Linked DNA regions of Bombyx mori. The main gene of each other region encodes a partner of the protein of the gene in region 5 in a complex. Links are inferred from orthologs where the notes say so. Each region holds a gene or a part of one and is shown on either strand. Other genes may lie near its edges.

What was found.
Region 1: vesicle transport protein SEC20 (region 5) and syntaxin-7 share a complex: the UniProt entries of both Homo sapiens proteins name them as parts of the SNARE complex. The link is inferred for Bombyx mori from reciprocal best matches to the Homo sapiens genes BNIP1 and STX7.
Region 2: vesicle transport protein SEC20 (region 5) and syntaxin 5A share a complex: the UniProt entries of both Homo sapiens proteins name them as parts of the SNARE complex. The link is inferred for Bombyx mori from reciprocal best matches to the Homo sapiens genes BNIP1 and STX5.
Region 3: vesicle transport protein SEC20 (region 5) and vesicle-associated membrane protein 7-like share a complex: the UniProt entries of both Homo sapiens proteins name them as parts of the SNARE complex. The link is inferred for Bombyx mori from reciprocal best matches to the Homo sapiens genes BNIP1 and VAMP7.
Region 4: vesicle transport protein SEC20 (region 5) and syntaxin-18 share a complex: the UniProt entries of both Homo sapiens proteins name them as parts of the SNARE complex. The link is inferred for Bombyx mori from reciprocal best matches to the Homo sapiens genes BNIP1 and STX18.

What each region holds. Positions count from the first base shown.
Region 1 is NC_085107.1:5,737,649-5,744,438, reverse strand, and holds the start of syntaxin-7, read right to left. Parts: upstream 3,953-6,790; 5' UTR 3,752-3,952; intron 3,675-3,751; 5' UTR 3,670-3,674; coding exon 3,564-3,669; intron 1-3,563. Other genes in the region: PAN2-PAN3 deadenylation complex subunit PAN3, read left to right, coding at 5,989-6,063, 6,136-6,222. UniProt on the Homo sapiens protein: May be involved in protein trafficking from the plasma membrane to the early endosome (EE) as well as in homotypic fusion of endocytic organelles. Mediates the endocytic trafficking from early endosomes to late endosomes and lysosomes.
Region 2 is NC_085118.1:10,687,494-10,694,315, forward strand, and holds the start of syntaxin 5A, read right to left. Parts: upstream 4,007-6,822; 5' UTR 3,206-4,006; coding exon 3,181-3,205; intron 1,832-3,180; coding exon 1,680-1,831; intron 1,509-1,679; exon of another isoform or gene 1,297-1,508; coding exon of another isoform or gene 1,291-1,296; exon of another isoform or gene 1,257-1,290; intron 1,070-1,256; coding exon 643-1,069; intron 1-642. UniProt on the Homo sapiens protein: Mediates endoplasmic reticulum to Golgi transport.
Region 3 is NC_085119.1:6,314,005-6,320,706, reverse strand, and holds the start of vesicle-associated membrane protein 7-like, read left to right. Parts: upstream 1-2,685; 5' UTR 2,686-2,875; coding exon 2,876-3,079; intron 3,080-3,920; coding exon 3,921-4,104; intron 4,105-4,792; coding exon 4,793-4,851; intron 4,852-5,824; coding exon 5,825-6,040; 3' UTR 6,041-6,702. UniProt on the Homo sapiens protein: Involved in the targeting and/or fusion of transport vesicles to their target membrane during transport of proteins from the early endosome to the lysosome. Required for heterotypic fusion of late endosomes with lysosomes and homotypic lysosomal fusion.
Region 4 is NC_085127.1:13,547,589-13,553,708, reverse strand, and holds syntaxin-18, read left to right. Parts: upstream 1-1,516; 5' UTR 1,517-1,656; coding exon 1,657-2,433; intron 2,434-3,068; coding exon 3,069-3,257; 3' UTR 3,258-3,275; downstream 3,276-6,120. Other genes in the region: cotranscriptional regulator FAM172A homolog, read left to right, coding at 3,834-3,851, 3,931-4,081, 4,378-4,672, 5,108-5,462, 5,532-5,616, 5,908-5,990. UniProt on the Homo sapiens protein: Syntaxin that may be involved in targeting and fusion of Golgi-derived retrograde transport vesicles with the ER.
Region 5 is NC_085116.1:13,639,264-13,646,054, reverse strand, and holds the start of vesicle transport protein SEC20, read left to right. Parts: upstream 1-2,985; 5' UTR 2,986-3,192; intron 3,193-4,016; 5' UTR 4,017-4,236; intron 4,237-4,816; exon of another isoform or gene 4,817-5,123; 5' UTR 5,124-5,136; coding exon 5,137-5,277; intron 5,278-6,407; coding exon 6,408-6,580; intron 6,581-6,791. Other genes in the region: NADPH oxidase 4, read left to right, coding at 1,392-1,515. UniProt on the Homo sapiens protein: As part of a SNARE complex may be involved in endoplasmic reticulum membranes fusion and be required for the maintenance of endoplasmic reticulum organization. Also plays a role in apoptosis.

The DNA.
Region 1 (6,790 bases), on a different chromosome or scaffold from region 5:
TAAAGCTTAGCAAATTTTAATTTTAAATTTTAATGTTTCTTATCATTATTATAATCATTTCAATTAACAGAGCCATCATATTAACAGTCCTGATAAGCACTAATGAAGTTCAACTACATAAAAACATGATTTATGTACAAGGAAAATGTACAACAGTAATTATATAGGTAGTAAGTGAAAAGTTTTAGCTATTTTTCTCATTTGCTTTTTCCTTATACAATCAATTTATTTCATTTTCTAATGTATGTATACGTATATTATATATACTACTAAATTAAGAATTGTGAAATACGATATACTTCTTAGGATTAAAATATAAATAAAATTTAATTTGTAATGTTATTCTAAAGCCAATTTATTGTTAATTAAATTTCACATTGCAAAATAGCACATTCTAGCAAGTTTTTATGGGTTTTGTTTATTTGTGGAGACCACTGTAATATTGTTTCTAGTTCTTTACTACTACGTCTACAACTAAAGTAGTTATATTATATTATATATTATATTATGTACATGAGTATTAAAAGAGTAATTTCCCAAAGTCATTGCCATAATTCATATTAACAATTTCGAAAAATCCATGTTAGAACTATTTCAAACTGTTAAAGAGTACTTTAAAAGAGACCTTAATTTATTTATGGAAGTAAACTAAATATACAGAGCTTAAAATGAATCTATATATTGGTAGCTTAGGAAGTTACATAAAAGAGAAAGCCTTTGCTACCACAACACACAGGACAAACGCCTTCGATTTGATGAGAATCCGATCAAACCCTCCCACTCATATCCTCACACATAAAAACCAATAACAGCCGCCAAACGGATAATCCAACCAAATTATGAAAACCAAACAAAAGAAATAACACAATTTCCTGCAAGCCACAAGTCCTTGCAGGAGAAAAGGAGCACAATCCTCCAACCACATAAGAAAACAATTGCAAAATTTTTAAAACAATTACACAAGATCAAAAGAGATCAGTATAAAGTAGGTTGGAGGAGGCCTTTGCCAACAGCCTATGGATTTACAGAAAGTAAAGAAGCACCAAATATGTGAATAATTTTAATTGTGTTAAATACATAAAAGTGCAGTAGTATAAGAAAGATAATTGTAAATCTGTTGTCTGAACAAAAGGCTTTATTATTTTATATATTGAAATTTATTAAAAGTACTTATGTTAGTTATTAATTATTTAAGATTCTTCATAAATAACTGAATGACAAAATGCAAAAAACCCATAGACACAGCCCACTGAGTTTCTCGCTGGATCTTCTCAGTGGGTCGCGTTTCCGATCCGGTGGTAGATTCTGCGAAGCACTGCTCTTGCTAGGGTCAGTGTTAGCAACTCTCCGGTTGAGCCCCGCGAGCTCACCTACAAACGTTAGGGTGAAGCTGAAATAGCCTCTCAAGGCTATCAGCATAGGTAGAAAAAAAAATGCATAAAGAATTGTTCAAATCAAACTGGCATATGCTGTGCTCTAACATAAGACTTCAAATGCTTTGGTATAAACATAACTATCAAAATGCATTTTTAATGATGAATTTTGTAAATACTAAAATACTATTCTGTTTTTCTTTTTTATTTGATAAGTACACCTCAGTAAATTCCTTTCATTCAAAAATTCTTGCTCACATATTGGCTATTTTCAAGAGGCCTCTCTTTGTGATTTCACCACTGTTCTTTTGTTTAACGTTTTGTATCTTTATTTATTTTATATGATTGGTACACATGTGCATGTGTTATTTTATTTTTATTATTACATATAGCTACATACATAACAATTATGTATGTAGTAAAAGTTCAGATATTGGTGTACAATAAAGCATACTTTACTTTTGATGTAGACTGATTTTTTCTTTGCATATGTTTAAGGACAAACATTATCCTAATTTTAATATATTTTATCTAACTTCATAAAACTTTTTTCTTAATATTTATATTTGTTTACTTACAAATAGCAACTACAGTCAAAATCTGTTATAACGACATCGAAGGGACTGCTCATATTAAGTCGTAAAAACCGATAGTCGTAACAACCGGTGATGTATATAATGTGTATCGTGAAAGTACAAACAAATCGATAGGGAATTATTGGAAAAATATATTTACATAATACGCGATTTTTCTTCAATATTAATTTGTTTTCTTTTTCTTTGCGACATTTTGAAAGTTTCACGAATAACTCCACAAAGTTTTGGTGCGTCTTGTGTATAGATAAGTAACAAACTAACTGAAGCGATATGAAGAAGCGGGCTTTGACTCTACTGCATGCACGTGTTTTGTTTCTAAGAATTAGAAAAGACCCTACACTAAACTAAATCCTATTGTTTTCTTTCCTGATTTTAATAGCCATTGAAGACAAATGTGGATACCTATTCAAATTGTTTACAATACAGCTTAGTCGGTCGTTCTAACAGATCTAATTCTCCGAAATATTAGTTAAATGTGGTCGTTTTATGAGGTATGTCGTTATAAGCAATGTCGTAGAAAGCAATATTTTTAATAAGGCGGTCATATGGCATTCAGCCGGGACCTTTGTTCTTGGTTATTATAACTGGCATGTCGTATTAAACGATGTCGCAGTAAACGGTTTTGACTGTATATGCATTATTCAAGTTAAATAATTTTAAGACACCATTTAGTCAATAAATCTAAACAAAACATTTTTTTTTTTTGGTCAGCAGGAAATCACCAGACTTCCACCATTTTCTGGGGATACTGAGCAGGGTATGTCAGAGTCGAACTGACTAAAACCTCCTGTCGCTCAACAACCAATGTCCAAACCTCGCATGAGACAGAACTCATGACAAGGCAAAGGGGGGAAAGTGAAGCGTTTAGTGCGGAGCACATCTCTCCCATCACCCTCCCCCTCGGGACGCCAGACTGGCGGTCGTCAGTTGTACAAAGTTAATCCTTATTATTATTATTATTACAGATGAATATTGACAGCTCAAATAAAATTGGTATAATAAAGTAAGAGTGGGGCATATAATGATAGCAAGGAGATCACTTGGCGATGAGCGAATTCAACATTTTAGAAAAAAAGCATGATAGAAAGATCCTACGCCAGACTGGCGGTCGTCAGTTGTACAAAGTTAATCCTTATTATTATTATTATTTCAGATGAATATTGACAGCTCAAATAAAATTGGTATAATAAAGTAAGAGTGGGGCATATAATGATAGCAAGGAGATCACTTGGCGATGAGCGAATTCAACATTTTAGAAAAAAAGCATGATAGAAAGATCCTGTCTCTTTTAGCCTCAAAGTAGTCTCAAGTTCCAGAGTGAATGGTGAGACAGCCAACATTATTCAAAACACTTGAGACTCCAGGAGCCTGAAGGTGGCAGCATTCTCAGTGCTATCTATGGGTTTTGTAGTCTAACTTAGAACTTAAAACATTAAATATTGAAACACATGTTAGAAAAACTTTAGTAAGAACGATTCTAATCAGTAAAATTTCTAATTGATTTGATTTTTCCTAGTAATTTTGTATCTCTCTAATATTAGGCTTAGATTCACATACGTTAATCTCACATTTCAGCATTCAAAATAACACTTACCATTTTGGGATATTTTCTTAATATTACTGGCGATAGTTTGAGAAAGTCGTTGAAAGTTATCTCCATTCTCATCGTATGACACACCTCCTTGATAAGACGCCTCCATTTTCACTACGAAATAAACAATAAATAATCGATATACAATGAAAGTAAACGTGAAAATATAGTGTTATTAATCATGTACCTACCCACTATAAATTGAAAGAGATGGTGAGTATGTATAGTTTTATGTTAATTAAAATAATGGTTTGTATTCTTCTTCCCATACACTACAGAGCTATGATAGAAAACAATCAAACGCAGAATATGCTACTCATTTACTACAGATAAGTTTAGAGCTGATCATAGGACTGCAGTTACTGCTTGCTCAAAATTACTCATCAAAAATGACAGTTGACAAAACAGATTGTTGTTTGTTTGATTTGTTCTGTAGAAAGGCAAAGAAAACAGAGCCCATAGATATTTTTTTGTAAAAAGGACGGAAGGCGTGTCTGTTATGTGAAATTTTAAATGGACTGAAATTATATGACATAAGACATCAGAGCAATAGTTGGATAAAATTAAATTAATTAACTCTCAACAACGTGGTGGGCATTTGTAAACAGTTCAATGCATTTTTTTAAAAACCCAATGCAATTATGTTTAATTTTCCCAAAGCTCTCACTGACGTGATTACTGTTTTCAATTTAATTGAACCTATTGGATACTTGAACTTTTTGAAAACTTATTTTATTATTTATTAAATGCTTAAACTGAAAAAAAATTATTACAAAATGTATGCCTTCTCTTTAAGTAACATCAGATCGGTATAGAGATAGTAGGGCTCTCTCTTTCCCACTATATATCATCTTCAGCAAAAAACTGGCTAGGGTACTACTACCGTATTCACGTATCTTCCCTAATCGTTGCAGAATGACATTGACACGTTTTTACTAAGAATCTGCTGGTCGCCAGCACATATTGGCCCATAGACTAGTTCAAAAAATAAAAAGCTCACTGATAGCAGTTAATAGACTCTGATACAATCGCGCATTTAAAGATAGAAAATGCTTCATTGTTGGTATGGCCTTACAAGCTTTTCCATTACATCATATAGTGTAAGAGACTATTGAAGGCTTCGTAAATGGGTCATGCTCTTTTTGTCATGAAATGGAGTGAATGACTTAGAATTACATTAATTTCCCCGCTAAGCCACTTCTGGGTCATTTTTTATCCCATCTAAACTCATCGTCTCACAAGATAGTTCGAAGCAAGCCTTTTAGAAGGCTGGAATGCCATGCTCTAAAAAGTGGATAATGGATGTTTTACAGTATTTTTTTTATATTTTAATTAGTAAAATTTTAAAATCAACTATATTTTAAAAATAAAAATAAAACCATACATATAATGATGAAAACTTTCAAATGAAAATAATAACCTATAACTCCTTTTATCATGAGTGGCGGCTATAAAATCGACCATTAGATCTTGGTAGCACGGTTTCAACCTATTATGAGAAAACTAGAAAAAAGGCGAGATTAAATATAATCTTAACAATACCTAACAAGGTGAAATATAAAAATAACTAACTCTTTTCTTAGCATGATGTTTTAATTAAACCGGCCCTAGATAATGTATTTTTAATCATAAAAACTTTATTTGAAAACTAAAATATTTTGTAATAATTAATGCAAGAAATTGATGATTCAGACCAACTTAATTAACAAAAACCTTATTATGTATTTTTCAGTTTCTTATCTTTTACTGCACATAAACAACAGATTCATTCCAATACGGGTAAATTTATCAGAATAAGTCGAAAATCATTAAATTGTTATGCTAACGAATTCACACACCCCGGATTGTACTAGATTCTATAATGTTGACTTACATTTTACATGGGTAATGTTTTTTAGTCTATGGAAGACTGTTTCACTGTAGTGTACGTACACTGGTACACACTACCTTCACCGACGTATTAGGACTCATCTCTTACCTGTTCCTGTTTAATGTCTCTATTGTCTTCGTGTCCCCGTCTCTGAGAGTCCGTGAATTTTGTATTAAAATTGCTGCCCCAGTGTTTTGTGTGAATGAATCAATAAAGATTGCCTTTAAGCCCCGTCTTTTGAGACAATGAAATACGTAGTTTTTAGATTTTTGAGGGTTTGATTTCTATCACGTATTTAATATAGTATTCTAGCTTTCCAAATATGTCTGGTTGAAATTGAACCCTTAATAACGACATGTTGGGGTACTCTCATTGTCATGAATAACTGTGAATCGAAAAGAATCATAAATTAAGGTAGGTCAATTTTAAAGTGCTTACTACCTACATAAGTTGGGAACAAAACTGTGAAGTAGGTACCTACGCTACTTTTATTGATTTATTGACTATGTTTTTTCTTCTTTGCAGCAGACTGCACAGACGCACTGCAGTTTTGAAATTATGGATCCATCAATATTTCTACCATACGCACCGCCTAACGGGCTTCCACAAGAATCGAAGCTAGTTACATACATGGTAAGACATTGTTTTTTAAATTTTTATTATTATTTTAAGAAAGCGATTTTTTTTAATTGTCATAAATTTTAGAGTCGCTCAACTTCGACGCCCACACGCTCTCTTAACCATGCTATAGGGAAGCTCACTTTGGATTCCTCACCACCAGGTGTTAAGAAGGTAATATTTTCAAATAACATTTTAGGAAAATAAATATTTCTTATGATTAATTCCACCTAACATATATCTTTGACATTTTGAATATTAAGTTGCATCATAATGTCAGAAATACATATCGACGCTTGAAAGGCAAATGTGACTAAGCGACAATGCGTGAATCTTACAGAAGACTAATTTATAGTTGAAATTAATTTAAAATATACCTGAAAAAAATTCTATTTTAACGAATCTAACTGTAGGATTGAAATGATTTTAATAGACCTAGAAATATATTTTTATTGCGCATCGAATATGGTTATTGCCTATCATTTATGTACAAGGCAGTAATTGTCGCTTAGTCACATTTGATTTTCAAGCGTCAATATTATGTGCAGATGTGTATGAACTTGAAGCCTACACTACATTATATAAAAAAAGGTAGACAACAGCTTGGCTGTGCCCTGGGCATTCCTGATGATTATGTACGATGGTAACCACTCATCATCAGATTGGCAGTAGGCCTGTCTGCCTACAAGAAAAATAAAAAACCTAAAACGGGTTTTTCTTTTTTGGGACTTATCCCATATGT
Region 2 (6,822 bases), on a different chromosome or scaffold from region 5:
CACAATTATTAAACATTTCAAGTAAATTTTCCTATAAGAACTGTAAAATAATCTGATTACAAAGGGATGTTGTTTAATTAATTTGTCATAAATTGTAAACTAAGATTAACTTAGTGGTAAATGACTGTTATCATATTCTTGATATATTCATTTTTTATATTTTATATATATTGAGGAGTGAAAGGCTGTTTGGTTTAAAAGACGTTTCGCTCAATACACTACATTTATCTCAGTAATTAACGTTTTTATTTGATATTACCATCAACAGTTCGATGTTTTCACTTGAATTTCACATGATTGGTTGAACTTCAATTAATTTTACTTCATTCATTTAGGTAGCTGAAGAAGTTATTTTGTTATTTTTTTTCACAATATTAATTTTGAATTTCATGATTTGATATACAGTAACATACATAAAATATAAATCTTGTAGGGCAATTTTTGTTTGTATTGGTATCATTACCTCTATGACCTAACTTCATTTTAGAGAACAATTTCTTTGTACCTAGTTTATAGCAAATGTAGCGTTTCTTTTACATCTTATTAAAAAAAAATGTTTATTTAACATTTTATAAAAGCAATAAATGAAAAGAATATAACACTTCATATTGGACTTATGCCTGAATCATTTAAAATACTTACACAAGGCTAACTTTTCCAATTTGGTATATGTACTAGTAATATTCTTACTAATTACTTTTGCCATACTCATGAATTGGGAGTAAGTTTCCAACACAGCAGCTTTTCTATCATCTCTTACGGTTGGTTTGTTTAAGAAACGTCCTTGGAGACTGCGTACAGTTGAAATGAATTCACTTGTTCTATCTCTTGAAGCCATAACTGGTTCAAAAACAAATTCTTCTAAAAATTTAAACACGTCCTGGTCAGATGATTTAAGAATCAATGTTGATTTGGAATTTGATGAGTTCTCGTAAGGCCGCGATTCCCCGTAATGAACACCTTTCTTATCTAATTTATTGTATGAATCCGTTTCTGTTTCCAAGAGTCTTTCTGTAACGCCTATATTTCGCCTTCGAGGAAGCATCGCATTGTAGTCTTCAGTCTTCACCTATAAAGTTTTACAGAAAAAACGTTGTCAACTTTGTTTGATAAGTAAATTACATTAAGTCAAACAGTACTGTTACACCACACATATGCTTTACTTGTTAATGATTGGGGATATTTTGTTTGAAAATGAAAACTTACAATTTACATAATTGAGGCAGTATTTCACAATTTTACATTCCAATACTTACTTAGAAAACCAATAGCGTTCAAATAATTACGTACTTTCATAGTACATTCATGTGTGTACAATATTTATCATTTCATCTCATCGATTCTTTTCAAAACTCGATGATATATCTATCTTTTAAATTATCAAGTCCCACTATTCCATTTTTTAGATAAGGTATGTAGGTACCTACCCACAATCCTTTATTTTTAATCACTCGATAGATTCCAGACACGTAGTCATAGATAATACACTTAACACGTAGGGGTAGTCATAGACTATTCTGGCTTAGTTTGTCCATTACTCACTCTGTCACTCACATGCGCACGAATACGCAAACCCGCAAGTGTAGGACGACATTTGCGAATGATTATGCAAAGTTTTCGCTGCATTCGTGGTTTTCCAAGCTGTGTCGGTTTTTTAACAGACATCAAAGCGCGCGAACCTCGAACCTTCGCGTAGTCTCCCACACATTCGCTTGCCCAGTTGCGCCGACGATTGCGAAGGTAACGCCGTTTTCATAGTTCGTGACGTCTACTGTGTAGCGTATCTTCATCAAAAGAAATCCCATAAAAACAGCATGGCTGTTAATCATGTCTGGGAAAGAATTCAAAAATCTTTTTCTTTTCAATGTTCTATTGACGAATTAAAAAGGAGGAGAAATTCGTGAGACATTCGTAAACAAGTGTAGGAGGAAGCGCAAACGGGTTCGCAAATTGAGTATGCGAACCCATTTGCACAGCCGCTAGGTTTGCGAATGAATGTTTGACGGCCCTTTACATGCGCGCAAACATTCGTACAATGTACGAATATTTGCGCGCATGTCAGTGGCCGGCATTAATACAATTAATTTTTTTTTTATCTCAGATCTACTTTTTTTACTCTTTGGGTTACAGTCCTGTTTCATTTTCATCTTTTTATGGATTTTAGTTTCTCTTCATGCCAACAAATTGTTGCCGTAAAAATTCTATAGAAATAAAATAATAATTTCATCTGTCATTTGAAACATATTCAACAAAATTTTCACAATACAAACATCTGGAACAGCCATTTCAATGTAATCTCAAAAAGCATATTAATTTAACTGTTGTACCACTTCGTTAGAATTGATGTGGGTATACCTAGTTGTTTGTCTTAGCAATTTTTGGCAGACTAATGACAATGTGTTTATGTTTCTATAGAGAAGGTCGATCTCTTCACTTCCAACTATTTAAATTAAATGACGAAGAAGTGACACCAACGAACATGTGTGTGTGTATCAAAAGATTATATCGTGTGATGATCAATGGGTCGTTTTTAAATTTGGGGCCAAAAGCGAGTTATTTAATTCTCATAATAACCTTAATGTTACCGTAATTATATGTTCAGTAAATTTGTTGTCATAACAGGCGCGTGGTCCTATAACTATACACCACTATTTTTAAATTAGTACAAAAAAATTAACTGGGCTCTAAGTATCTTTAACTAATCATATTATATGGTAGTTAAAAATAAAAAAAACACGAAGTCTCAGAACTGTCCATAAAAATACGTAATAATTGGTAAATGCTAAATAACTAAATCAATGACCGAAAGTACGTGCGGCAGGGTTTTAGTATCTACGGGGCGCTGCTCCATTGATAAATTCCAGGAAACTCAAGTCAACTCAACTCAACAATAACGACAAAAACCTAAACACTACTAAATTGTTAGCGGAAGTGTGCGCATGCTTTTTTTCGTTGCAACAGTTGTTTGTTTAAGTTTTCCCTGATGCGATGGCTTATCAGTTCACATCACGGGAGTATGTAGCTATGCTTCGTGGGTACTTTTTGAGTGGAGAAAATGCGAGTGCAGCTGTACGTATGTACAGGGAAGAATACCCGAACGCGAGTGCAGCTGTACGTATGTACAGGGAAGAGTACCCGAACGCCCGACAGCCAAATGTGCGAACCGTGGTAAATGCTTACCAGCATTTGCTTGATCACGGTTCATTCCACGCACCGTCACATAGTCAAGAACGAGGAAGACTGGCGTTGTGACAAAATCTGTACGACGATGTACTAGCGTATTTTGAAGAGGATCCCCGACGGAGTACAAATGACACTGCTCGACGGTTTAACAACAGCCAGTCCTGTGCCTGGAAGATTGTTAATAAGGCCGGATTATATCCATATCACTACAGGAAATCTCAGGAATTAACCACCGTTGATTATGTAGCGAGGATTTCATTTTGCATCAGGATACTGAACAATACCGAAGCAAATGTATTATTTTCTGCATTGGGCCTGTAGCTTGGCCTCCACGCTCACCTGACCTCACGCCCATGGACTTCTTTTGTGGAGTGAAATTAAGAGATGTGTGTACAGAAGCGAGCCGGTTAGGCTCGCACAATTAAAACAGCGCATATTGGACGCTTTTGACGAAGTGAAAAGACATAGAAGCGCACTTCTCTCGTTAAAAACGAGTTAATGAAACTTGCCCGTCAATGTATTGACAATGGTGGTGGACATGTCGAAGGACAATTGAATATACAAGTATTCATGATGAGATGATATGGGATGAAATATAATCTCAGTAAAATGGTGGTTATTTACTGAAATTTTTTTAGTGGACTTTTTGGAGGATCCCGATAAGTTACGTCCAGCGGCTTTGTTTCATTTTACCACATTTGTGCACTTTCACAGATATTAAACAGTTAATAAACCACCGTTATTACACATTTAAACCTGAAGAAACACTAAATAGACAAAATAAAACAAATCACACAACTTCACTCCTCACGTTCCCCCCAAAAAGTCGCTGTCATTTTTTTTTCTCTTTTTTTAGGTATTTTATGACCTGGTAGCTAAGACTTTTAAGTCATGTCTTATTTTAATTTATACTCTTATTTTTATGAAAAATTATGAAATGAAATGAAGATGATTAATTTGAGACATTAATCAACTGGGATGAAATCAAATGAAATGAAATGAGATGATATGGGATGAAATATAATCTCAGTAAATTGGTGGTCATTTACTGAGACTTTTTCGTTGGACTTTTTGGAGGATCCCGAGAAGTGACGTCCGGCGGCTTTGTTTCATTTTCCCACATTTGTGCACTTTCACAGATACTAAACAGTTAATAAACCACCATTATTACACATTTAAACCTGAAGAAACACCAAATAGACAAAATAAAACAAATCACACAACTTCACTCCTCCGTTCCCGCCAAAAAGTCGCTGTCATTTTTGTTTTTTTTTTTAATTTTATGACGTGGTGACAGAGACCTTTAGGTCATATCTTATTTGGAAAATGTTCATTAGTTTGGGGCTGTCATTTATAGTTCACTTTTATCATAGATTATCATAGACCTATATAGTAGGGACACGACATATTGTACTATACGTACAATTGCTTATATAAATAGCACCCATTTTGAAGGCACACACATAAACATATATCTATCTCGTTCTTACTCAGCACTTTAACTCGCAGGAAAATAATATAACAGTATTTCAGTGCGTACATAAAATGAAACATGAATATACGTAAATGTCTAATGAGGCCGAAAATCCGCCATGTTGAGCGCTCCAAATGTCATTGTCACGTCAGTTCGGCCGTCTGTTTTGGGTTGCGATTTAATATGATTGCTTATATAAAATTTCATATTTTATCATGCTTAAAACATACAAAAATAATAATTAAAACGTATTTTATAGGATCTCAAGAAAGTCGATGCCCCAAAACTATTATCTATATATATTTAAATTCATTACGGAGCCCTCATCCGAAAAATCATTTTTCGGTCGGAATCTATTGATCATGACACTAATTATAAATACCTCTTTAAAATATGTCATCAAAACATATTATTGACATTCTGTTTAGATATTTCGGGAAAAAGGCTACCGACAAAATCTCTTCGGAACTATTTAAATAAAATAGTTTTATGCCGCAGTGAATAAAACACTATTGTAAATTCGGTAAATATTTAATAATTAAGTGATTTTAGAGAGGAAGTCACAAGGAATGACGTTTGTAATTAATGAATAAATGTTCTGTATAGTGGGATTTTTTATTAGACGAAGTAAACTGACGTTTACTGTGTTGTCAGGTTTTGATGAAATAAAAATAGTGTTGTGACAAAGTGAACGATTGAAAAAACTCCTGAATTAATGAAATTGCCTCGATTGTCTAATGAATAGTAGGTGTGCCGAATTGCCGATATCGGGTACGGGGTTCGTATTTTATGCGTGCTTTGTACATACCAACGAGTTTTCGACGAAATATTATGTTCCTATAGTATCTACCTGTACTGAATACCGAGTGTTTTAAACATTATGAAAAACATTGCGAGGAAGCTTGTAAAACTGTCCTATTTCCAATACATCAGATAGTTGAAATTATAGATGTATAAAATATAACAATTATAGGTATGTAACGAAAATAAAAAAAAGTGTGTGTGTCCGCTCCGACGCACGACTGGAGTTTACTGGATATAAATATAAATTTGTGTCAGTTGAATACAGTAAAATATGGAAGTTACGTATTCTAGTGAGAATGATCCGGGAGTTGCGGAACACGTGGATGCGGTAATTAAGTAAGTCTATATAATTCACTTTTACAATTAATATATAAGTTGTCCATTCACTGATAGAAGGAATTGTTTATATTTAATAAGCTTTATTAATAAATGATTTGTAGCGGGTTATATTCGGGTATCAACCCACTAACAGTTGATACGTTCAGGAATCGAACCCGAACGGCGTCCGGCCACAAGCAAAACGATGTCGGTAAATTAAACGAAACAATACGAGAAATAGTTCTATATTACGACAACACGATACACTACAGATTATTAACAAATTAACGAGACACAAAACAAACGACTAACAAATATATGAAAATACAATAATGAGAGAAACGCGCGATCAGTACGAGGCTTTGTGGCGGACTGCCGGCGCAGCAGCCCGGCGTCACCTGCGATAACGCGGCCGCGCGTTGGCTCCTGATTGGCCAATCAGGAGCCAATCAGGCGCATAACGCATTTCGTGTGACATGCTATACTCTCTAGTACGATTTTGGTCCCCATAATTTTCATACCCCGGGCCTATATATGTAAATCGATTCTTAAGGAGTAAACTCCAAAATACTGATTGTAGTTACATACTACTAGTAACATATATTGGAGCACTTTAATACAATTTTATTGTAAAATATAAATAATATTCTTTTATAGTTTGAAATTAATGATTAATTCTTCACACTCATTGTTCATTCATGTGATTGAACGAGAACTAAACGCATCACTATTACTTTAAATATAGCAACATTATTTCACAAAGTGACATTAGCTACTGTCAGCTGGCTTCGTCTAATTAAAAATCCGACTATAGGTGTTTTTTTTTTCACGCGGTCCTACGATAAGTTTAAAATTTGAATCACTCTCACGTGAAAGTGATTCAAATGGTGCGGCGCACCTTCCTTGAGGTGCGCTGCGGTAGTGTGTTACGGACTTTAGGTCAGCAAAACAATTAAAATAGATTGTAATAGTCTAAGAAAAACACGTACTCAAAATACGATAACATTTAGCATGCTAGAAATGGGCAGATGGCACTGTACTAC
Region 3 (6,702 bases), on a different chromosome or scaffold from region 5:
AATTAACATTTTTTGTTATAAATTTAAACAATACATACAAAACTGGGGTTCAGTGCGTCGGTCTGTTAATATTAGGGGTTAAAATATTTAATCAAAATATCTACCATTATTATCTATACATTGCTGCATCTAATAGGAATAACTTTATTTATTTATATATATTAGAATAACTTTTTATCACGTAGAAAATTGTCCAAATTACGAAAAAAATTGTAGTCCGTTGGAGCAAGGTCTGGGCGAATACGGAGGGTGACGAATGGTTTCTAATTGCAGTTCCTGTAGAGTTAAAACGGTTTCTCGTGCTGTATGAGGTCTCGCGTTATCATGGAGTAATGATGGTTGAAGATCGATTCATGAGTCGGGCTGTTTCAACACAACAAATATATTGCAACAAACACGTGATTTAGTACATTAAAAAGATCTAAGAAATATCTGTTTGTCTATTTTCTTCACTTTGCCAACCAGCAGCAAACACATTTTAAGTTAATCCCGAAACAGGTTTTGACATAATGTCGAACCAATGTTATCTATACGCAATATGAAACTGGTGACGATAAGGACTCGACGAGCGAATTAACCCATAGACACAGCCCACTGAGTTTCTCGCCGGATCTTCACAGTGGGTCGCGTTTCCGAGCCGATTGTGCGAAGCACTGCTCTTGCTAGGGCCAGTGTTAGCAACACTTCCGGTTTGAGCCCCGTGAGCTCACCTACATGTTAGGGCGAAGCTGAAATAGCCTCTTAAGGCTATCAGCATAGGTAGAAAAAAAAAGTGATGATAAGTAAATCGGCAAAAAATAGTTTGTGGTAGTATATGTTAGATTGCAAACGTATTCAATCTATGTCTCAAGACGGAAGGCGTTTACCTTGTAGAGGATACGGTATGCGATAAATGTTTGAGACAAAATACGCAGCGAGCGAATCTGTAGAAAAAGAAATGTAGGTATTGTTATAATATACCTATACTGTGACAATGGTAGTTTAAACAATTTTTTTTTCAAACCACTCCATTCCTTCCGATTATCGTCCTATTAGAATTAATACCAAAATTACTCGTTGCAATTCATGGTTTTTATTACACTTTACTGCCGGACGAGTTGTTTTGTTAAACGGCCGTCTCATTCTTCAAACACGAACGGTTTACTTCACGGTGAAACTGGGCAGGACGGTGATAAATTTCCGTCCTGGCTCAAAATTCGGAGTGTATGAGTACGTAGGCAAATAATATTCAATTATCTCAAAGAAGCAAGTTGAGCACATGCGTGGCACGCTTGTCTGCACATGTCTCTTAAAACTGATCAATTTATGTACGGTGACAGTTTTAGCGAGCACGAAACGATTTTAGCTTCGGCCGACACGGAAATTTATTTTAGAACGATCGTGTGATATTTGTGCGATACTGAATTTTTCAATGCAGGGTTGTCAAACGTTCGATTTTCTCGTTTTTTTTTTTCTGTAACCCACAAGCATCAAGTAGGTATGTAAAAATATCGGTAACAATCCATATCCTTATGGTAAAAAGGAGGTGTTTGTTTGTTCTTGAAGATGAAAAACAAAAGTGATACTGGTGATTCATAATAACATGATTATTTTGATTTTTTTTCAGTTGTTTTTGGTATACGAATGTCACGAAAGAATGTTATAAATTAAAAAATCCGCCAATGTAGATAAGCTTAGCTTAATAAATTATTAATGTGTGTTTTATTGTTCGCGTTGTTGTAGTATATGTTGCTTCGAGGAAGATTTCATTCCATTATTTTTAATAAAGGAAACATTTTTCCTTCATAAGTAGATTTAGTATCGCGTCCCCTAATTCTATCAACATCTGGCAGCAGCATACTAAATGTTGGCCACAGTTATTGTCTTATTGGCATAGAATATACTACACTTAACCGACTTACTGTAAGCAAGTGATTTTATTAATACTAGAGGTCCCGCAGTAGTCGAAATTCGACTATAATTAATTGGAATTGTAAGTTTGTACACTATTATTATTGTATTTTATACTTCTATAGTCACAAATTTCGCCAAGACTACACTATAAAAAATATTAACAAAGACTAACAATATTTAATCTATTCTCAATCTGACAACAGAGGTCAAGAACAAAAGTTGGACAATAAATAGTATGCATGCGTGTGTGCGTCAAATACATGGTATGTAGTGTGTGTAATGTTTTCTTTATTGATTTAATGTATCTTTTATGCATTATTTTAAAAAAATATTAGCATTGTGCACTTCTTCTCTATATTCTCTATAAGTGTGGAAAATTTCATACTCCTCCGTCCGCGCAATTTTCGTAAAAAGGGATACAAAGTTTTTGCTTCACGTATTAATATATAGATATCGCGGACTCTTGTCATAGCAACAAGACCAAATTTTCAGTTTTTAAGATAATTCCTCTTATATTTTTAGACACAAACAAATACAAGTCTTGTATTACTGGGTTTTTTCTTTAAACAAAACCAATGAATATTTTGTTGAATTAAATTTGAAGAATAATGCATGCACAGATTAAACAAATCTGTTTTATAATGAACATTTTTGCGCACACGTCGGTCCATTTGGTAACAAAAGGTTACCAGAGTCTTGATATCGCATCGGTTAAACAAAATACAGAGAACACTGGCTAATGTGACTAGATCTGTTTTATTTCCGTCAAAAAACGAATGACATCCTTAACGCATTGCGTTTGGACATTCAAAATCTTTAAACCGTGGGCGGATCGAGAGGACGCCACATCGTATAGTTGCGGTTTGTACTCTTGTAATGCAGCAGTTAAACAATATTCTTCAAAAAAATTATTGAAACTGATAATAATAGTGAAAGCGTCAAATGGTGTGAACAGTGATAATAATTTGTAGTCATATTTATAATGCCTATATTATTCAGTGTGATAGCGTGTGATAAACGAGTCGTTTCGAAATTCGCAACCTGCGATGGTAACTTCGTGGAGATATCCGAACGAATGGTCTCAAAAATACCGGTACATGATCACAAGATGACGTACCTTCACGGAAAATATTTGATTCACTATGTTGTTCACAAGAAAAATATATTTCTTTGTATTACAGAAAAGGTAAGTTACGATTTCGTTTGAAAAGGACTTCTTACAAGTTAAAAAACATACATGAAAAAATAGAATATAAATATTGTTCTGAAAGTTCATTGATAATGTCGTCCAATACATTCGAATTGCTCAAAACACGTCATTACGGATCCTCCCGATCCATTAACGGTGCTTTTAGGTACCTCAAGCACCGGTCACCGTCCTCGCCGAACCCGTCGCTTGCGACGAAGGGCTCGACGAGTAAATTAACCCACAGACACAGCCCACTGAGTTTCTCGCCGGATCTTCTCAGTGGGTCGCGTTTCCGATCCGGTGGTAGATTCTGCGAAGCACTGCTCTTGCTAGGGCCAGTGTTAGCAACACTTCCGGTTGAGCCCCGTGAGCTCACTTACTGAATCTAGAATAGCCCCTCGAGGTTACTAGAATAGGTAGAAAAAAAAACGAATAGTATAAAACGAAAATATCTCATTTTTATTGTGGCCGGTGTTTAAAACTTGTTTTTTTTTTATTTCGTTCTCGTCAATAAATTTCTTAAAGATATTAGTTATTCGATCTGGTGCACTTATTGTTGTCCCATATATCTTCTGAACACATAGCACAGAGAAAATTTGGACGAACGATTGCCACTTATTAAATAGGTTGAATATTGAAACTAAACATATACGTCAGTTGAAAATTGAAGAAACTTTATTTACATATTTCTGTATGTGCAAGATTGTGTAAAGATTTTCTGTTAAATATGAGAGAAGCACACGTCGTTATTCGCATAAAGTTCCCTTATGTTAGCTTAAGTCAGAATTATGTAAATATTTTTTCTATAGTCTTCAAATCAAATGTATTTTCTTAACAGAGCTGTCAGAGATCAAGGGCATTTTTATTCTTAAATCAAATCCAGAGACGATTTGCTGAATACGTAAAAAATTTCGAACATATACTGGCAGAGGAAATGTACCGATACAATGAAGATTACAGTACTATAGTTATAAGAAATGGCGAACTGGATGAATTGAACAGGATCAGCGTTGAAAGGAGTGGTAAGTTTTTTTAAACATTTTTTATTAAACAGCTTTGTAAATATGTAGGATGGTTAAGAACGGAACCTATGGAAAGAGCGTGGAACGGAGTGTTAAGGTGTGAGTGAGAGAAATTTGTGAGAAATAGAGAGAAATAATAATAAAAAAAGCAAGACCGCGAGGACGATGAAGTGAGCGATGTGTAAAAAATGTGTCAATAAATTTTTAGTTATTTATTAAATAGTTTGGTAAATATGTAGGATGGTTGAGAACGGAACGTATGGAAAGAGCGTGGAACGGAGTGTTAAGGTGTGAGTGAGAGAAATTTGTAAGAAAGAGAGAAATAATAATAAAACAAAATGGCAACATGGCGAGGTCGATGAAAGCAGCAATATCTAAAAAATGTGTCTATATTTTTTTTATAATAACAATTAAATTCCAATTATACGTATGTATGTTTGTATGTCTTCTTTATAATGTGATTTGCATCGATTTTAAGACGTACCGACCACTAATCAGAAAGTTTGTACACGAATGAAGGACCGTTAGCTAAACAATAATTTTAATTGCTCTAATCGCTCTGAAATCCTGACCGGTATTCAAAAAAGGTACAAAATAAAGATAAAATTATTTGTTGGTACGGTTTGTAATTGAACGTACGGGTTCTTAAACTACATTTAATTTTAAATTAGTTTTTTTTTCTTTTCAGAAACAATTCTCGGCGAGAAAATGCTTTTAGTTGATAGCATCGATAGTTTATCGTACAGTGTAAGTTTACATAAGACATTAAGCCTACAAAATATAGTCATTAGCTATTTCTCTCATAAGCATGAATAACGTAAATGCCATTGTCTCGAGACATGATTTCTAACTCTGTTCTACAGTATAACAAGGACCACCCTTCAAACGGGGATCCTTACTGCTCCGCGGGAGAAATACGGGGTTGCCTTTAATTTTGATTTTATTTAGTTTCGCTCGTTATAAATGTCTCTGCCGGATGTATGAATGCGGCGGAAAAAAAGACTATCAGTTTCAACATTTTAAATGGAAAAAAATTCACAGAATACCTATTAAATAGTATGTATGAGTCGACTATTATCAAAGCCGGCAATGTGACTTTTGGACAATTATTGGTAAATCAGAAAAACGAATTATTGACTTTGTATTCCATTGGCAGTCACAAAACTCTTCTGCACGACATCTTAGATAAATAACAGGTTAAGTATTAACCTTTATTTAAGCAGGTTTTGAACCGTATTCTTTGAAGGAGACGATTATATTCAAATCAATCTGTATTGACATATCAATAACATTTTTTTGTCCAAATGCACAGATTGCCACCTTTGATAATAGATGACTCGTATAAACAAAATCTATTACCAAATCAAGTTTTTTATTTTTTTATTGCTTAGATGGGTGGACGAGCTCATAGCCCACCTGGTGTTAAGTGGTTACTAGAGCCTATAGACATCTACAACGTAAATGCGCCACCCACCTTGAGATTTAAGTTCTAAGGTCTCAGTATAGTTACAACGGCTGCCCCACCCTTCATACCGAAACGCATTACTGCTTCACGGCAGAAATAGGCAGTGTGGTGGTATCTACTCGTACGGACTCTCAAGAGGTCATACCATCAGTAAAGTGAATCGATCAACTATGGCATGCGAGTTTATTTAAGCGACAGCACACAAGTTTATAGTAATATTGTATTATATAAATAACACATACTATTTTGTTACAGACGATTTCGTACGTGGGTAGAGCTCCAGAACAAATATCTATATCTGTACAAGATAAACAACGTTTCAATTTTATTTTCATAGGAATATTTATGATTATTGTGGGATCTTCTGTTTACGTTTTCGGGCCGATATCTTGTGTCACGGCCACAGTAATTATAGTATTTACATTCATTAGATCACTATACGTATCCAAAAATAAAACTCATTCGAATTAAGGAGAAATTGACGACATTAAGATAATTTACTTTCGCGGTCTCATTGAGTTGTTTTCGTTCCGAAACGTATGCTTGAATTTATTTAGTAAAATTAAATAAATAATCTTCTATATAACATTCAGTTATGAACTTCGTATGTAATTTCGTTTTGATTCCTTTTTACAAATAGATATTTACGTCAATAAGCGGCAGGGTGTATTTTTAAAGTTGTTTTTGTAAATAAAATATGTCATATGTTTTGTGTCATGTTTCATAATTTCATATTCTGTAACGGTTACACGTTATACATATATATTTATTGTATGGATGTATTTTCTTTAATAATGTGTTGTTAATAGTACACCGCAATATATCTGCTGTGCAGAATTTCGGGTAATTAAACGGTTGTCTGGAGGAGATTGCTTTTAGCGATAAGACCGCCTATTGTACCAACTCATCTGCTTCTTGACTGTTTTCTGATGTAAAATTGTGTTTTGGTGTGCAATAAAGTATGTTCTCTCTCTCTCTCTCTCCCTCTAACGTTTTTATTTTATTAATTGTCTTTGTTGGTTAGACGAGCATACCGCCCACCTGATGGTGAGTGGATACTGTCACTCATGGACGTCAGCGATGCCAGAGATACAGCCAAAGCGCTGACTACCATTCAGTACTCTGCGCAAACT
Region 4 (6,120 bases), on a different chromosome or scaffold from region 5:
GGCTAGCTCACCTAAGCTCACGGGGCTCAAACCTGAAGACGTTGCTAACACGAACCCTGGCAAGAGCCGTGCTTCGCAGAATCTACCACGGGATCGAAAACGCGACCCACTGAGAAGATCCGGCGAGAAACTCAGTGGGCTGTGTCTGTGGGTTAATTTACTCGCCGAGCCCTTCGTCGCGAGCGTCGGGTTCACCAAGAATGATGACCGGTGCTTGGGTTACTTAAAAGCACCGTTAGTGGATCTTTTTTTTTTATTGCCTTTGTATATATATCTTTTAAATCTCTGTCTTCAATGGGTTGATGTTGGATGGTTAAATTTGAGGTGATTGGGTTCTGTAGGTGATGGAGGGCTATTTAAAAACACACTGCTTCATTATAATTATATTGCAGATAGTTTGAACACCATTTTAAAATTATTATCTTTATATTTTTATAAAACTTCTTACATGTTTCTTTGACCGTGTCTAGATTAGAAGTATTGACTTTTTCTTACGAGAATACAATCATCTGTTTTTTAAACGTTTAAAATAATTCTAATATTCGAAATCTGTAATCATGCGTCAAGTGCTGCCTGCCATTACATTTATATTCAAACTCCAACAGTTGAACTGAATTAAATTCAATTCACCCAACTGAACTGAGAACTGTCTAAGCATCTTCATGCTTAGACAGTTCTCTAACAGACCTAAATTTGATCGTGTCTGCTGCACCACGCTCTGAGCGAAGCTCTCATAGCTGATATGTCATACATTATAACACAAATGTGAAACCTAATAAAAAAAAGAAACAAAAAAGTTAAAAATTGTGTATTTTTTCTAAACTTTGAAACCGAGTTTTAAAAAAAAGCAAGTGTTCAAATATCAGGCATGTACCTTATCTATTCTCGCCACAGTGAGCAAAAAAGTGCCTTAACATAGAAATAAAAAAATATATTTAAAAAATCATAACTCGAAAACTATTAAAAATCGCGGAACGTACATGGGGGTGGTTCGGATAGCCCTAGTGATGTTCTACCTCTGGACTTCGGCTTGACACTATTTTTTAGGGCACCCTGTATAAGCGACAGAAGCTTTATAGAGTGGTGTAACATTTATTTCTGTCTCTCTTCCGTCTCCATTCGATCTGAAATGCTTTCGGCTACTGTAAATTTACGAGCAAAAGACTTCAGATCAGATTGTGTATAATAATTTTTTTAAGGGATTTTATGACCTGATAACTTTCTTCGGATGTACATACTGACTTTTTATTTTTTCACATAAAATTATACGACTAACTAATTAATGCTAGGCAACAACTATTCTTCTTAATAAACTTATGATGGTTAGATGGTTGGATGGCAAGAAGACCAGTTCTAACATGAAGAAACACTAAATAGACAAAATAAAACAAATCACACAACTTCACTCCACGTGTTCCCGCCAAAAAGTCCATGTAGCCATCACAGATTAAAATATTTATTACTATTAAAATATTTATTACTACTTAAAGCCATGCTTACTTTGCCTTTTCAATTGGATAATTTTAAAAAGAGAATTTGGTTAGTGTCTACTCTGTGAGGACATTATTGATTTGTCAATTCAATTTGTCAAAAACGAGTAAAACTTACGTGTTATTGAAGGAAAAAACATTTAAAACATAAACAAATCCTCTTAAAATGGATATAACACCATTATTTAAGGCTTGCATAAAAACTGTTAAAACTCGTAACAAGGCTTTCGGCATACACAGTCCGATTAGCGAAGATAAGCAACGCATATTGAGGGTGAAATCAAAAAATGCTTTCATGGCAACAGCTAAGGATATTTGTTCACAAATTACAAAGCTTAGGGACTTTTTATTGGAACACCGCGATAAATATTTAAGCTTCTTCAATAATGTTACTGGAGACGATATGTCTGATGAAGAGCGCGACCAAATAGACACCGGTGCGCAACGTATCATGAACACATGCTCACACCTGCTAAAAGAGTTCAGGAATGATAATCGAAGAACTACAGTGACCCCACAAACTAGGGAATATATGGACTCAGTCGTAGATTTAATTGATGCTTATTTAAAAGCTGTTTGTAAAGTGCATAGTGAATTGAAAGCAATGAGAGTTAAGCGAGCTTTAGATATGAGAAAATTGTCTAGACTTGAGCTACCAGCGACCAAATCTAGTATTCCTAATCCGTTTACACTAGATAAGGTAATAGAAAAAGAGAATGAGACAGAAGATGAAAAAGAAAATACAAAAACAAAATTAGACTTATCAGAGAATGAGATGGCAATTATGTCTGATGAAGGAGAGTTGACTTCAGAAGAGTTGCAAATGTTTGAGTCGGAGAATGTACAGCTGTTAAATGAACTAAACAGTATGACGGAAGAAGTTAAACAAATTGAAAGCAAAGTACTACACATTGCAGAACTTCAAGAAATATTTACTGAAAAGGTAAAAGGTTAAAATTGAATAAATACATAAGCCATTTAAAAAAAAAAACAGATTACAAGAAAAGAATATCTGCCACCAGAGAGGATGAATGTTGTTTATTATAGTCTGTGTATTATATCTTTATAAAATTGCACATACTGGTACATACATATCATAACTATCTTGATCTTAAAATATTCATATTTGGATGTTCTTTCATACGTAAACTATTGGATGTAAATAAATTTTTCAAATCCATGATACTTTAATTGATTTATTTAGATTCAAATTGATATTACTGTTTGTAAAAGTATAATTAACAGTAGCGGTTAAGAATATCTGCCACCAGAGAGGATGAATGTTGTTTATTATAGTCTGTGTATTATATCTTTATAAAATTGCACATACTGGTACATACATATCATAACTATCTTGATCTTAAAATATTCATATTTGGATGTTCTTTCATACGTAAACTATTGGATGTAAATAAATTTTTCAAATCCATGATACTTTAATTGATTTATTTAGATTCAAATTGATATTACTGTTTGTAAAAGTATAATTAACAGTAGCGGTAGGCAGGTAGCTTTTAATAATGAGATATACAAACAGTTTGTCTGACATAAAATGTAAAAAGTGTAAATATGTTTCAGGTTTTACAACAAGAACAAGACATAGATAGAATATCGAATACAGTTGTCGGGGCAACTGAAAACGTTAAGGATGCCAATGAACAGATTAAGCAAGCTATACAAAGAAACGCAGGCCTAAGAGTATATGTTCTGTTCTTCTTACTGGTCATGTCGTTCAGTTTGCTGTTCCTAGATTGGTATAATGATTAAATTTAGTAGTTACTGGTGGTTTTGTGTTTCATTTTCTAAATAATGATAATTTTACAAAAAAAAGGAACAGTTTTGATGATAATAAAATGATCTTAATTGAAATTTTGGAATCAATGATGTTAATATTTTCGCTTTAAATAAACACGTTTTATCAGAGGCTTCTTATGTTTTTTTATGTGAATACGCAAATATTTCACTATCGGTTATATAAAATATACACTATTATTGCTAGAGTTTCGATCTATACTTTAGCCAAACATTTTTTTAGTTGTTTAAAATACAACTATACATATACTAACTAACTATTATACTTATGCTACTAACTTTAACTTATATGAATCTTAGTTGATAACATGAGAAAATGCTGTTAATTAACGTTGTACCATCTATATTATTTTAAAAATACCACTATTTTATTAATTTAGTTACAAATATAACTTCGGTTTTTTACCAGTCGACTAACTTGGCTGTATGTGCTATTTTCTCTTGGACTATCTATTTAAACGTCAAAGTCCAAACTGTCAAGTTCCAACCCCGGGACCTGGGGATTGTTTATTTTTCAGTTTCAAGACCTAGATGCATATAAATTCAGCTGTAATAAAACATATATCAATGTGTTTCCCTGAGGTGATCAATACTGCAGGATGCGTACTTACCACCCTCTCTGTTGCAGTTCATGAATGTAATTCGCGCAGTACGCACGTCGATATCAAAAGTACGACTGCGACCTCACAGAAAGTCGATTGCATCTAGTGCTAATAAAGTGCATTACAAAATGGAGGGAACGAAAACTATGAAGGAACTGGGATACATATTTGATTCAAGTAACATTCTAAATTTTTTATATCATTTAATTAGTGCCTCCACTTATGAATAGGAACAATAAGAAATTTCAGAAATAACTTGAAAACAGGTACAGTTAAGTGTATGCACGAGACCCTCTTAGTGCCAACGCTTAAGGGTGGTGATAACCACTTTCCATTAGATCCATATGTTCATACCAAGGCAATTAATATATGTTGTTAGGGTATTACTTGTAGATATTAAATGCTACACTATTTTCTAGTTTCACTTTTAAATTAACAATAATATGATACTTAATGCTTTTACTACCAAACAGATGGTCAAGTAAGAAAAATTGGAGCTGATGGACAGCCAACAGATGAACCATTCCAATTTGTTGTGAGCAATGATCACCAGGAATGCCAAGCTCATTATGAAGAACTTGGCTCAGCAATCACCAATTATGTTTATGATATTCTTCAGACTCAGATTGGATTGCAAAAGTTACCAATCCCAAAGGATTCAAATGATGGAACATTTATTTTTGTTTCAAAAGATTATGATAAAAAAGATGTTCTGTTAATATTGATTCACGGATCAGGCGTTGTGCGAGCTGGTCAGTGGGCTAGATCGTTAGTATCATGACTTAATTACTAAATTTTGGTTTCAAGTATGTTTAAAATTAAAAATAAATAATATTGATGATGAGATAAAATTCAAAATGCAAATGTTATTTTGAATTTAGACAAGCAAAGCCATTTTTGAGTAGTACTTTAATAACTTTGGATATATAACATGAAACTTCTTCTTAGTACTGAATCATAAAATTAATATAGAAATATGTATATAATGGTGGCTCAATTCCTGATTCTGTTCATTATCCTTGGTTGGTACAATGATGGTATTACCCTTCTGTTCTTCTTTCACAATGGCAATACTCTATTCATCTATGTATTAATATGTACGTAATCAATGCATATTTTTTGTTTTCCCCATGTCTTGTTTTAAAGTAGGTCACGTAATTAGGCCTGCAGTATATTTGTTCTGAAATGTAATTTTTGTCACAGCCTCATAATCAATGAATCGTTGGACAAAGGATCTCAGATTCCGTATATCAAGAAGGCTTTGGCCAAAGACTATGGAGTAGTGGTACTAAATACAAATGACAATCACACAGCAGATGGAAAGACCATTCTCAACAGTAGCACCGCTGAGGAACATGCCCTTTACGCATGGCTGAACTACATATCCAATGCGAATGCAAGTTCCATACTCATTGTAGCACATAGTTATGGTGGGGTTGTCACGGTTTCTCTGGCAGAAGAGGTGCAAAATGACTTTGAAGACAGAGTAAAGGCCATTGCTTTTACTGACTCTGTACATTCCTATTCTAATAAGAAGCTTACAAACTTTTTGAAACAGGTAAGAATGTAACTGGAGGCATGCACAGTTGAAATTTAACTTTTCCTAATTGGTTTCTCGATATTACAGGTTACAAAGAATTGGATATCTAGTCAGACACCGCTGGATACACCTCTCAGAACTCCTGATTTCGATATAACCAGACTTTCAGCAGGTATAAATATTGCATTCATAAAATCAAATTATTTGTGTTTTTAAGGGGAATAGACTATGGCTATTCTTTCTTCTATGAACTTATTTTCTAGATTATAATTACATACTTATCCAAATCTTTGCACTGCCTTTGTCCATGAGTAACACTGAGCATTAATCACTGGTTCAGCTAAAAGCTTACTATTAAGTGCTGCAATAGTAACATTGAAGCAACCATTGGTAAAGGTTGACTTAAACCACTGAAACTCTGCATTTGTGTTGTGTCAAATATATAAGAAAACTTTGTTTGCAGGTCATGAGAAACATGAAATGACATCATACATGTGTATGGATTCTGTTTTTAAATACTTTGATGAAATACTAAATATGGATTAAAACGAATATTCACGTGGTACTACTCTGTTATAATAGCGAATTTTTATTCTCTGGTTATGTTTAAGAATGAGCATTTATTAATGTTAAATTTATGTCTATGTACCTAGTTAGTTAATAAATAAGAATGTGT
Region 5 (6,791 bases):
CGAGGGCGGGATGATAAGTAACTACCCTCTACTATTTAAAAAGTTAAACTTTAAAAAATATATATGTCTTTTTTAAATTCGTATCTCTGGCTACCTGTGTTCTAAATTTGAATTTGATGGCGTGAAAATTTTATAGATTTTTTGTCATTTGAAAATATATTTCGTCAAGTGTTTTCAAAATGGATAAAATTGAACAAAGAGCGGTGATAAAGTTTCTTCATATGAAGGGCATGAAGGGGAAAGATATCTATGACGAGTTAAATAATGCTTAGGGTGAATGTGCTCCTTCTTATGCCATAGTAAAAAACTGGGTGGCTGAGCTTAAACGTGGTCGTACATGTGTCCAAGATGAAGCCCGCCCCGGACGTCCAAAAAGCGTCACGACTCCGGAAATGGTCGTGAAAGTACATGATATGGTTTTAACAGATCGACGATTGAAGTTATCTGATACAGCTGATACTACAGGTATCTCTAAAGACCAGGTACATCATATCCTAAGTGAGGAATTAAATATGAAAAAGTCATCGATCGGCCCGTTGGGTGCCACGATTGCTCATGCACGATCAAAAGAAGATTCGGGTGCAAAAGTCAAAATAATGTCTGGACCGTTTCAGAGTAATAATGCCGATTTTTTACGTCGATTTGTAACAACAGATGAAACATGGGTTCGTTATTACATGCCAGAATCAAAAATTCAATCAAAACAGTGGACGCAATCGCGATGCCCGGCTCCAAAAAAGCCATGGCTGTAAAGTCGGCTGGAAAAGTGATGGCTTCCGTCTTTTGGGATGCAGATGGGATCTTGATGATAGATTACCTTCCTAAAGGTCAAACGATTAATGGAGAATACTACGCTAATCTTCTAGATAATTTTCATCACCCACCTTATTCGCCTGATATAGCGCCATCAGACTTCCACTTATTCCCTAAGCTCAATACTTTTTTGGGCGGACAGAAATTTACCACAAATGATGAAGTCATAGCCGCTGTACAGGAGTATTTTGCAGACTTCGAAAGAAATCATTTTATGGAAGGCATTACTGCTTTAGAACGAAGATGGAATAAGTCTGTAGAGGTTCACGGAGACTATGTCGAAAAATAAAATTAATTTTATCACGAAAAGTTAAGCGTTTTATTGTTAGGCTAGTTACTTATCATCCCGCCCTTGTAGTTTTTAAGCTATCGAGAACATAAAAAAATCGCATTATGCACACATGATTTGCGTGCGACTTGTGAAAGTTTTACATGTTAATCAAGTTAAGTTTTACATAATTCCAAAACACTACTTGAGATGGAAATAAAACAGTGTCATAGGGTTATTTTTGATCATGTTAATTACTTAGATGTATGAACTGTGCTGATCAGTATTAAAATTTTACTTCCACTTTCAGACGCCATTTGAACTTATATTGCTGCGGACCGAAGAAATTAGTGAAAGCATTAAGACACAAATGTGGATACACGTCTAGCACTACGAAGACCAAGTTTACTTTCGTTCATGAAAGCTTTTCATGAGGCATTGTGTTTTAATATCAACAATTAAATGCATTTTGAATAACAACGAAACATGTTTTATTTCCTAATTATTTTTAATATGAATTGAACTTATGTATTGGGTGGGTCATTTACGACCCGCTATAACATTAGATCGTGGATCCATCACCGACCGGAGGGTCAATTCAAAAGCAAAATTGGTTATGTGGTGTACAATCATAGCTCATCTCTTTCCTGGGTGTCAAGCTTAAAGGGTCACAGTTGCAGAACTATTGATATATCACATTACATTGGAATATTATTATTGTAATATTAAGATGTTTTTAAATCCCTTATCTTTTAGAATTTCACGATCCGTTATCCATTAGGAAAAAAAAATACGTTGTTGACTATAGAAAATATTCTATAAAGTATAGATAAAAACTGTGATACACGCTTTGTAATTGGAGACTGCGGGCCTCGGGCAGTTTTTAGAACATCCTGCCCTCATAGCTAAGCCTTAAGGCGAATTTACATTACGAAATTAGTGGCATGAAACTAATTTCGTGACATTAGTTTTACCAACAGTTTCACGTGTAATTTAATACTTTCGTAATGCATGCATTAATTTCATGCATGCATATTAGTTTCGTGCCCTGCGCGATTTTTTGGTGATATTAGTGTCATGCAACTAATTTCATAGTGTAAACGCGACGTGAAACTAATGTCGCGAAAGGGCCTGCGTTGTGCGGACGTGTGTATTGTTAGTTCGGACGCGCTTCAAGCGTTGAAAATGGCAAACCAACGATGGAGTACAGAAAAATAAAATAGATCTTATTAATGAATATCAGCGAGAAGGGTGTCTATGGGACCCGAAACACCTACCGTAAAAAATCAAAATTATCTTCACTCATTCGAAAATAGTTTTTATTACTCTCAGGATCTTCATCTGCTAATTCAGAGACTAACTTCATTGCACCTAAATGCCTTCTTGTTGACCATCCTCGAATCTACCAACTTTTTTTTTATTGATAGCCTTTTTTTAAGTTCATAGGTATATAAGCATTTTTTTAGCTACATTGAATATAGCAAAATATAGCTTTGATGCTGACGGCGCCATGGTTACTGCGATACTGTGGATTTCGCGACACTAATTTTTTTACGAAATTACTTTCGCATATATTGAAACTACTTTCGTGAAACTGAGCTCAACATGCATGACACTAATTTCGTAATGTAAACTCCGCATTAGAGTTTGCCCGGCCGACACGATCTGAGGCCAACAAAAATCCTTTCATCCCAAATAAATAATTAGAGATAGGTACTTAAGTTGAACATATAAGTATTACAACTATCAAGATTGATAATAATAAATTTAAGTATTATTAAGTAAGAACATGCTCAGCAAATCTGTACTGAATGAACAGAGTTTTAGACCCTATGTTTAATCCTTGAATAAATTTTAGAAGTAAAACCTTCAAAATTAAACATCAAGATTTAAAAGACAGCAAAAACTAAATGTCACCTAAGACGCTAAGTTTTTTTACGCATAAGAGTTCATGAGTGTATTTTAGCTAAATTTCTGTGCCACACCAATGTTTCTTCCTACGGTCTCCTCTGCTTAGCATTATGAAACCTGCATTTACTACAGACAGCACAAAGAAAATTGGGAAGCGTGTTAAAAAGATAAAAAAGAAATCAAAGAATAAAAAAGATCTTGTAAGTTTTTTCCTCCTAAGTTTTTGTTGTAGCCTTAAACTGACAAAGCCCAACTTCAATACTGTTAAGGGGGATTTAAAAGATATTCTTCAGACGTTTCTTCAGAAGGGTTGAGGCTCTAACACGTAGTTAATTATGTATGTTGTGGCAGCAAAATTATATCCTATAGGCTTAGTTTAGCAGGTTTTTTGCCTTAGAAAAGGCAATGAAAAGACGGTCAGTTCGCGGGAAAGTAGTCTCAGTCTACCAAAGAGGTTTGCTATAAGACATTACCAAGCCTCTACTAAAACATTTAATTCCTATCTATATGAAAGAGAGTGAAGCGTTCATGACAATCTAATCTTTGTGTCTAATAAACCTATATTAATTAGGAGTTATACATACCTGATCCTATAGACCGAATGGTAAACAGTCGACGGCGCCCAAAACACGTCATAATGGATCCTCCTGATCTATTAACGGTGCTTTTAGGTACCACGAGTACCGGTCACCGTCCTCGTCGAACCCGTCGGTTGCGACGAAGGGCTCGACGAGCGAATTAATCCACAGACACAGTCCACTGAGTTTCTCGCCGGATCTTCTCAGTGGGTCGCGTTTCCGATCCGGTGGTAGATTCTGCGAAGCACTGCTCTTGATAGGGCCAGTGTTAGCACCACTCCGGTTTGAGCCCCGTGAGCGCACCTACACGTTAGGGCGAAGCTGATATAGCCTCTCAAGACTATCAGCATAGGTAGAAAAAAATGGAGTTAATGTAGTGGTAATGTCCCCAGCGGGCATTTTTGTTTTCTGGATCGAATTATGTGTTATGATGGATTTATTTTCAGACAAATATTAAAAGTCAGCATGAAAAACTCAGTGTAATTTGTCCAATTTGTCTACAAGATCTTTGTAATAAATCCGTGCTGGCGACGAAATGTGGCCACGTGTTCTGCGCCACCTGCTTAAAGACAACGTTGGAAAGGCAATCGGACTGTCCGAAATGTAGATCTAAAATAAAATCATCTCGTGGCTATCACGCTATATACCTGGATACTTCTAGTTTCTGTAAGAACGTTTTAAATTTGATAGATTTAATAATGTGTACGTCATTGCCATTAGGTACCTTTTTGAAGCTAGTGTTTGTAGTACTATCGTTTATTGCGAGTGCTAAATTATTTAGCATGCTTTATTAAAGACGACAGTAGCTACTTTTTTGCTTTGACGGGAGCATAAGCTTTCGGCCCATACAAATGATGAATGCCGCCAACATGAGACTTCATTTTAAGTCTTAGTCCTATAGTTCAACGGCTGTCCCGCGTTTCAAATTGAAACGCATTATTTTTTCGCGGTAGAAACTTGCAGGGTGGTGGTATTTATCCGCGCGGGTTCATAGCTTACTATCAGTAATATTAATATAGAATCCTTTTAGGTATACTTAATCACATGAAGTTTTAACCTGAGATAATATCGTTATTGCTTTCAATAGGCTATGTACATTATTTTGTATTATAAGAAATGTAGGTACTTTAAAAATTGATGAATAAATCCTTTTAAAAAAAAATTTGATTCTTGTAGGAAATAAGAAAGTTAATATTTTGCGAATTTGTTGCGATGGTTTTGAAACATGTTCTGCTTTGCACCAAATATTCTCAAATATGAAGTGTAGGTACATATTATCTATGCTATTGTTTGGATCTAGTTGATTAGTGTATGTATAGAAGGTAGAAGCTGCTGTGTACAGGTGGACACTTAGCAAACTTGTCTATAAAAAACACGGTGGACTTCTTACTTCTACCTTCCTACTAGTGACATGATTTATGATGAATGACATTTCTGACACATGACATTGTAATGACAATAGTGAAGTTTATGAATCCGTAAACTCTCTAAAAACAAATAAGATTAAGTAATATTTAACTTGTAAATTAATATAAATTTTAATGATAATATAGAAAATACACCACAATGGCCCTCAAAATGGATTTGAGTCCAACGGACCCATATCATCAATCGTTGTTTGCAAAATTAGAAAATCCTGATGTGGTCTATCAGAATTTCGTGAAGAGATTGGCTAAGTATCATTTTCAAGTCAAAGCAATTATCCAGGTATGTTGTTTGTATATTAAATTAATTAGATAAATTAGATTTTTTTGTCTAGATGTCTTTTTTACATAGAAGATATTCGGTAGAATTAGAATAGTAAAGTAAGTAGAAGAGGACTAGAATCTAAAAACTCAGTTTGTATTTCTTATTAAGAATTTCGTAGTTCATAGACATCTTTTTAATAGCTTAGATGAACAATAAAAGAAAAAGTATTGAAAGTTAAGTACAAGCTCATTGTTTGCATTCACATTCACTTTATTTCTATTAGCACAAGAAATTCATTCACACTACTGAACTGTGAGCTTATTCACTCATATAATTAATAAATAAATAAAATGATGAACACTGTTAACTACTACACAATGTCAAATTCAAATTTAAAATCATTTATTTCAACTTGGATGTCATCAAAAACACACTTGTTGAATGTCAAAATGTAAAAGAAAATATTAACTCTACCACCGGTTCCAAAAAAAGCCACAGTCCTGAGAAGAACCGGCGAAACAAACTCAGTGGGCTTTTTTTTTTTTGTATTTTCTCAACTATTTTCTTTTTTTTTAAACAAGAAAACATATTTACAGTATACAAAAAAACAAGTCAAAAAAATACAATTCAATTAAATAATAATAATAATGAAAAATGAAAAGGCCAGGAGCGAACGCCTCATTCCCACGTAGTGCCATCTAGTAAAAAATCCTTAACTTTATAATATGCCTTGTTGCACAAACGTTCCTTGACAGTTTTCTTAAATCTATGAACAGGTAGTAGTTGAACGTTTTGTGGGATCTTGTTGAAAAGTTGTACACCCAGCCCCCTAAAAGAGTTACTTATTTTCTTAATTCGAGCCGCCGGCAATGCAAGCCTATGTTTGTTCTTAGTGTTCACATTATGCAAATCGCAGACTCTGGGGAATTCTACAATGTTTTTACGCACGTACAATAAATTTTCAAAAATGTATTGGAAATGTATTGTAAAAATGTATATGTGGTTTCTTGGTTTCTTGAGTTGTTGATCTGAGTCAATAAACCAAAGTGCCTGACAACAATAACAGTTTTTAATAACTGAGCAATTTGATTACAGCTTGATACTTGCGGAATAAACCTTAGAATTATAAATATTTTTTGTTTTTTTAGGATATCCTGGAATGCAGGGAGTCGATGGAGAAATTAAATGAGTTAAATGAAAAAGGAAGGGCAAAAATAACGGAAGTACGAGAGGAATTAGAAAATTTATACCTGTATGGTAAAGAAACAGGGGATACAAAATATGATACTGAATTAGAATCACAGAGGCACCTTTTAGCTTGGTCAGTTACTAAAACATATTTTGTAAATCCTATAAAAATATATATATCCTCCTATATATCCTATAACTAACTCATCTTTCGAAAAAATCTTGATAAAACGACCCTTCTTTTTATGCAACAAAACTTGGGACCATGCACTAAAGCTTGGAAGAATCATTTTGACAATAAGTTTGTCAATTTAAATTGCGGAATTGTGATTTACTAATCTATG